Linked DNA regions of Caenorhabditis elegans. The protein of the gene in region 2 interacts with the protein of the main gene of each other region in a pairwise test. Each region holds a gene or a part of one and is shown on either strand. Other genes may lie near its edges. The genes, in order: pas-4 and lido-15.

Region 1 (3,617 bases), on a different chromosome or scaffold from region 2:
TGACTTCCATAAATCGGCAAAAGCGCTACAGTAGTCATTTAAAGCTACGGTAGTTTTCGCCACGAGTATCAGTATACGCATTATCAGAATTTATTGCTCCCTCAATATGTAAGGCGTATATTATGATTAATATTCTGAAAGTCTTTTTTATTTTTGAAACTAATTTATGTAACAACGTTTTTGAAAAATAATTGTTATCGTCTTCAATTATATAAAACGAAGTTCCAGAAAATTGTTGAAAATAATTTTATGGTAATTTTTATATAATAGTTTATTATATAAAAATTAGATCTTATTAATAGATCTAATAAAATTAATAGATCTAATATTTGAAAAAAAAAGTAGCCGTAGGGCAATGGCATCTTGTAAGTCTAGGAGGAGACTTTTGAAGGCTTATAAATGAAATATATTCAAATTTGCCTCCTTTCCCTCTTTTTGTACCGCTCACTTTTATTCGGAATTTCACCGAAAAGGTCCTCTGCTTGGGAGAGGAAATGTATAGAACAATTTGCATAACCACTGCCACTTCAATCGGTTCATCGAAGAATTTTGAATGAAAAATGAACTTCAGGAAAAAAAATGACTGTGATTATTATTGCAGAGATTATGCGTTCTATTCGAAAATGTAGGTTAACTTATAAAACAAATCTCATTTAAGGATACCATATTTCAGAAAGCTAGAAGTTTCAGAAACCATTGCTCGCCGAATTGGAATTTTCTTTATATATATTTTTCTCTTTTTTTCAAATGAACCCCACAATTATCTTGTCATTTCGAATATATAGCTTCTTTCTTTTCATGGTTTTAAAGGAATTTCGAAGATTTTAGGGAAAACTTTTTCATTCCCGTCAATAAAGATGAATAAAATAAATTAGGTTTTGAAAAGGGGAGCAGATAACTGGGAAATCAATACACACGGATAATGGACAGAAGACAAAAGTTCGAATCTACTTCTTCTTGGATGCAGCCTCTTCAGCCTCAGCAGCCACACGTTCTGTCTCAACAACCTTCAGGAGAGCCTCGATTTCTTCAGTTGACAATACACGTTGCTGCAGCTCATCCTAAAAAATTAAAATTAAGGACCATCTTCAATTTAAAAAAATGTTATTACTGAAAATAATCTCAGGTGGAAATCACTTACATTAACTTTTTTCATGACTGCAATCTCGATATTTTGTGATCCTGGTGGTACGACCTGAGCCAGCGACTTTACAACCAATTTAAGAGTGGTAGCTTCGTCGACAGTATTTTCCTCGCTGTATTGCTCCTCAAGGTATTCACGCACTGGTTTCTCTCCTCTTCCAGTCGCGTTGGCAACGTACTCGTAGTAAGCTCCAGATGGCTCGGTTTTGAAAAGACGTGGAGTTCCGTCATGATCGAATCCTCCAATGAGCATTGAAATTCCGAATGGGCGACGTCCTGGAGATTGTGTGAAGCGCTGAAAATCAGTAAAAGTTATGCTTGCATAAATAAAATATTTATACCTGCTTCGTGTTTGCAATATATCTGGAGATATAGGCAACGGTAACTGGATCTTCAAGAGTCAACTTGTACGACTGGCACTCGATACGAGCACGATCAACAAGAACACGAGCATCTGCGGACAATCCAGCAAAAGCGAGCATCACATGGTCGTCGATCATATGAATTTTACGGATTGTGCGGTCATCTTGAAGAGCTGGAATTGACTTCTTCTCAACACCGATAACAATGCAATCCTTTCCGCGAACACCGACCTGAAACATTCATAATTATAACTTGAGGTTTTAAAAATAACCGTATTATTTTGAACCATAATTCGGGAAATTTTAGATTTTTAGATAGATAATATCAATCATCTACATTGAATTTTTTGATTTATTTTTAAATATAAAACGATAAATAGATCTAAAATCTTCTTGAATCGGGTGCTTCAATTCTAGCTGATATCATATTCATATGAAAGTGCAACTCATATAATTTTCTGCCAACTGATTTTCATCAGGGGAACCACTCACCGCAGTCGAACCCTTCTTGACAGCTTCCTGGGCATATTCCACTTGGAACAAGTGTCCATCAGGGGAGAAGATAGTGATAGCACGATCGTATCTGTTCATCTGAAAAATTTTAAAATTTGAAATAACTCTGAACCATTTTTAACTTTAAAACGAAAAAATAATTAAAAAATGATTATTTGAAATTGTGCAGTGACAAAAGCGCACAGTTGAAATGAGTGTTACCGTACTTCGCTTACCAACCGAGAACCTGAAACGACACTCCGAAATAACGAATGTGCGTGTTGTTTAGCGACGTTTTGTTTTGAATTTCTGTTCGACTTAAATGTTTTCAATTCAATAATTAGATTTTTCATTTTTCCTTATAATAATCATTTTTAGTAATGCCGTACGCAAATCAACCTAACATCGAGGTTACCGAACTGACAAATGATATAATCAAGTTTGTACTGTGGGACACTGATTTGAGTGTCGCAAATTCACTGAGACGAGTTTTCATGGCAGAAGTGAGTTGTTTCCTGTTTACCATTACTCTTTCTATATTTTTAATTACATTTCAGGTGCCAACCATAGCTATTGATTGGGTTCAAATTGAAACTAACACTTCTGTCCTCCACGACGAATTTATTGCACATCGCATGGGTTTGATTCCGTTCATATCTGATTATCATGTCGAAAAAATGCAATACACCAGAGTAAGATAGGGTTGAATCTTTCACAACTTTTTAAATGTTGGTTTTAGGATTGTGAATGTGCCGAGTTCTGCGATGAGTGTTCGATACCGTTCATTCTGCAGATGAAATGTAAAGATGAAGCTACTTTGGCTGTTACTACCGAGCATCTAATGCCAATGCATAATTTAGACACGGTAAATTTAAAAAAATGCAACTCATTTTTTTTTAATGGAGTGAATTAAATTTCAATAATAATATTAATAACGTTTAAATAAAATCGATGAGCAATCTTATTAGGGTCCGTACTTCACTACATTTGATAAATATTTGAATTGGAATTTTACAGACCGTCCGACCAGCTTGTGGAAAAGCACTACGTGAGCGTGGATCGACCCGTGACGAATTTCACAACAGAGAAGAGATTCTGATTGTAAAATTGCGTAAGGGACAAGAGCTTAACCTAAAAGCCTATGTTAAAAAGGGTTTCGGAAAGGAACATGCAAAATGGAATCCCACCTGTGGAGTTGCATTTGAATATGATCCAGACAATGCTCTCCGACATACAATTTATCCGAATGTTGAGGAATGGCCAAGGTAAGAACTATTATCAGTATTTTGTGAATTTCGTACATTTTTTTTGCAGAAGCGATCATTCATCTTTACCAGAAGACAGCACTGAAAAGGAGGCACCATTCGAGCCGGACAACAAGCCTAACAAGTTCTGGTTCTCTAGTAAGTCACGGTCAGATATTTTGCTTATAATTTTAAATGTTTCAGTCGAAGGAACTGGTGCTCTTCCAGCACAGCGAATCGTGACAATGGGAATCGGAATCTTGAAGAGAAAACTGGAGGAACTAAATATGGCTCTTTCAAATGAACTTCAAGCTCATGCCCAGCAGCAGTAAACTATTTGGATCTCTAATTTATTTACGTTATTATTAACTCTTCT
Region 2 (3,905 bases):
TGAAACCGTGTTATTTCTATCAAGCTGACGTTTAAAAATTGGAATCACGCATATTGATGCTTGAAAAATTGGTTTCGCGTAGAAATTTTGTCATAGAGTTAACTTGTTCTAATCGGTTCGAAAATCAATGATAAATCAACCAAATATTGAATTTGTTCAATAAAATTTTTTTTTTAATTTTTTTTAAAGCAATATTAATCCCAATATTTAATTATTTTTTCCAAATTTCATCTTGAAAACTCGAATAATCGCGAAATTTCGCGTGAAATTCATTTAATACCGTAAAAGTGTGCAAGCGCGCTCCGTTGGACTTTCCAATTCTCGATTTTCACAACTCTCCCGATTTGAGGCGCTGTGATCTGCAGTTTATATTCTAGTTAATTGTTAAGTCTTATAAATCAGCTAAAAACCAAAAACTCATATTTTTTCAGCTATCACTGCACAATAATTTTTTTCAGATAGTAAGCTCCGAGTTGACGAAACACTGAGAAGCGCAGGAATTAAAGACGGCTCGGCGGTTAATAGATGGGAACCGTGCCCATATTAATACTACAATGTTGCTTTTTTATTTGGAAATAAAGTTATTCGATAACATACGTAGATCAACAAACAATTTTATTATTAAAAAGATTCATCGCTTTGAGTTCCGAACTGGAAACCTTGCTGCTAGATCGCCGAACACCTCTGAAGCCGTCGAAAAATCCGCGTCGGGCTCATCAAAAGCAAGCACGGTGTAGGTGAGCACAGACCGGATCAGATTGGTTTTCTCGGGATATTGCTCGAAAATTCGTTTGATTTGCTGGCTTATTCGTTCTGTCTCTACTGCCGCTGGGCTGGATTCTCGAGGGCGTTTTAGAGACGGCTGAAAGTTTTCAAAATGTTGAGGAATATTGCAAATAAGTCTAAAAAACGATACCTTCTCCTCATCCTCTGCTTTTGGATTCGGCACTGGTGGAGAGATAGGTGAAGGTATTGAAGAACTCGACGAGCTTGCCTGGAGCATCTGACTCAGCTCATGCCTCAGATTCATCGGGTTTTCGAAAGCATTGAGAAATGGATTCTCCAGCTTAACCTTGGTGGGAGTCGAGGTCGATGAGACTTGTGGAATAAGAGATGAGAGGTACTTCATGGCGCTGAAAATTGGAATTTTCTAGAAAAATTAAATACAAGACTACAAGTTAAATTACCTATCATTCTCCTCAACCAACGACATCATATCGGGCTCTTCGAAGAACGATTGCATATCCTCTCCGCTGACGGGCTCCGAATTCCTCGCCTCATTCCCTGTTCGTTCTGCTCGCAACTGCCGATACTTGTAAAGCTTGTCATAGTAAAACCGAAGATCCTGGAACAGCTCCCATTTCTGAAGCTCAAGCTCAGTCTGGATTCTGCTCATTCCGCTCTGGACACAATTGTGAAGACGCTGGCCGAGATTCGACTTGATACTTCGGAATCCGGATCGCATTTGATCTACTGAAACCAGGATTCCTGTCCGCTGAAAAAGCTCGATTCCGACCGTTTCCCAGCGTTCCCGATCAATTTTTTGGTTGCTATTCCATAGGTCTTCTTTTGGCTCCAAAATGTTCAGAAATACTTTTTTGATGAGATTGTCCATCGGGAACTTGGTCCCCTCAATGTGCTCGGTGAGCTTTCGGTAGTCGGTGGCGTTCATCGCGAGCATCAAGTTGAACTCTGAAAATTTTTAAAGTTTTTAGTTAAAAAAAAAGAAATTTGTTTTTTTTTAAATAAAAACTAAAAGATTCTGAAAGAGACAGAGATTAGCAATATTAATTTTTTTCTCTATTTATTACGTGGTGTCAGGCTATCCCATTACGGTGTGATCTACAAAAAATGCGGAATCTTTTTTGCCAAGAAAAATGTGACGTCAGTACCTTGCGAAATCAGATGAGAAATCGGCGTGCTGACGCGTCTACTTTCCCGCGATTCATGTAGATCATGGGACACCTTGGCACCACGCGAACTGATAGTTCAGGACCCCACGTTGCCAGTAAGTTTATCAATGGAGCGCAATTGCAGCTTTACCCCTTTCTCGAGAAAGGTGTAAAGCTAAACTTAGTGAAGCGAAAAGTCAATATTAAAACATTTTTTGACGATGAATTTCGATAAAAGTGGGAAGAGAAAAAGTGAAAAAAAAAACTTTTTTTAGAGTAACATATTTCATTTCGACGACAAAAACTTTCAGCATGATAACTGGGACATAAAAAAGAGGTCGAAGAGACGCAGACAATGTTGAGCACGACAAGAAATTTGTTGTTGACGCGTTTTTGTTAGGCAGCAAGGAAAAATGTTCAAGGAGAGTGATGGGGAGCAGAGAAAAAAGGAAATTGCTGAGGGAGAGAGAGAAAGTTGTTGATATAATAAAGTCAGGGAATGATATGAAATTGAACATTTTTTTGGGTCTCGCCACGGGGTACTGTAGCTAGGAACGTTTAGCTTGCGGCAAGACCCATGACGCTTTTTTCCGGCCAATGGTAAATTGCCGGAATTGAAATTTCCGGCAAACTGGCAAAATGGCAATTTGTGGGGATTGAAATTTATGGCAAATCGGCAAACCGGCAACTTGCCGGAATTGAAATTTCAGGCAAATCAGCAAATAGCCGAGTTGTCGAATTTGCGGGAAAAAAGGCAATTGTAATTTTGCACATTTCTTTTTTCGAAATTTCAAATTTTCAATTTCAAGCGGCAAAATTGTACGCATTCTATGAATGTTCCTACATTTATTTTGAAAATTAAGCAAATTCTATGAAAATATTTAATGAAAACGGTACAAAAATTTCAAAAAAGCATAGTTTTAAATGTTTTCGTCTTATAAAAAATCACTCTGAAAACTTCCGGCAAATCTGATATCCGGCAAACGACAAACCGGCAATTTGCCGAAAAATGAAAATTTCCGGATAAAAGGCAAACCGGTAATTTCAAAAAATTTGCCAAACGGCAATTGTCGCCCACGTCTGAATTGAACCACAAATTAAAAGATATTTTTTAGTTTACCAAACGCAAATTAAACTTTTTTGAAAATTAGTTTTGTCAGTTGTCAACTACGATTTGAAAGTCGATACTAGTTGTGACAAACGTGCTGCAAAAATGTGGAGTGCGGCAAATAATAATGTGGACTGAAGGGGGGAAAGATATGAAAAACTGGACGAGAGATAGAGCATTGGAGACGAAGAGACGCAGACTGGCCGTGGGGTGGAGACGACAAGAAATTTGTTGTTGACGCCGCGTCGCTTTTTGTTAGTCAGCAAGAAAACTGGGAGAGAATTATAGAAAACGAGATAGAGAGGTGGAGGCGCAGGGAAAGAGGGGGACAAAGTTTTTGATAATGTGTGTGTGCAGCCATAAATATTATACTTTTGATATTAAACGCCTTTGGAGGGGAGCACAGCGGAGCAAGGTAACAAATTTGAAAACAAAATTGTTGTCATGGAGATGCTGATATGAAGAGATGAAGCTTTAACATAAGAATTGAGTAGGTTTTCCTAGGTAGGCAGGCGTATGCGCCTACTGCCTATTCTTTCTCTGGTCGCCTTTGGAAGCAGGGAAACTGGTTTTTAACTCAGGGTTGGGCGGCAATTGTCGTTTGGCAAATGGGCAATTTGCCGGAAATTTTCAATTCCGGCGATTTGCCGGAAACATTCAATTCCGGCAATCTGCCGGAATTTTTCAATTCCGGCAATTTGCAGATTTTTCAGAAATATTCAATTCCAGTAATTTGCCGGTTTCCCGATTTGCCAGAAATTGTCAATTCCGGCAATTTGCCTGTTTGCCGATTTTCCGGAAATTTCAATTCCGGGAATTTACCGGTTTACCGATTTTCCGGAAATTTTCAATTCCGGCAATTTGCAGATTTTCCAGAAATATTAAATTCCTGCAATTTGCCGGTT

The links.
Region 1: the proteins of lido-15 (region 2) and pas-4 interact in a two-hybrid assay, tested with the Caenorhabditis elegans proteins (2 studies listed by BioGRID).

What each region holds. Positions count from the first base shown.
Region 1 is NC_003279.8:8,726,392-8,730,008, forward strand, and holds pas-4 (Proteasome subunit alpha type-7), read right to left. Parts: upstream 2,097-3,617; coding exon 1,998-2,096; intron 1,737-1,997; coding exon 1,485-1,736; intron 1,439-1,484; coding exon 1,142-1,438; intron 1,062-1,141; coding exon 948-1,061; 3' UTR 827-947; downstream 1-826. Other genes in the region: rpb-3 (DNA-directed RNA polymerase RpoA/D/Rpb3-type domain-containing protein), read left to right, coding at 2,378-2,500, 2,555-2,689, 2,737-2,862, 3,015-3,262, 3,312-3,400, 3,446-3,573. UniProt on the Caenorhabditis elegans protein: The proteasome is a multicatalytic proteinase complex which is characterized by its ability to cleave peptides with Arg, Phe, Tyr, Leu, and Glu adjacent to the leaving group at neutral or slightly basic pH.
Region 2 is NC_003280.10:3,810,073-3,813,977, reverse strand, and holds lido-15 (MADF domain-containing protein), read right to left. Parts: upstream 1,697-3,905; 5' UTR 1,673-1,696; coding exon 1,188-1,672; intron 1,134-1,187; coding exon 917-1,133; intron 863-916; coding exon 632-862; 3' UTR 550-631; downstream 1-549.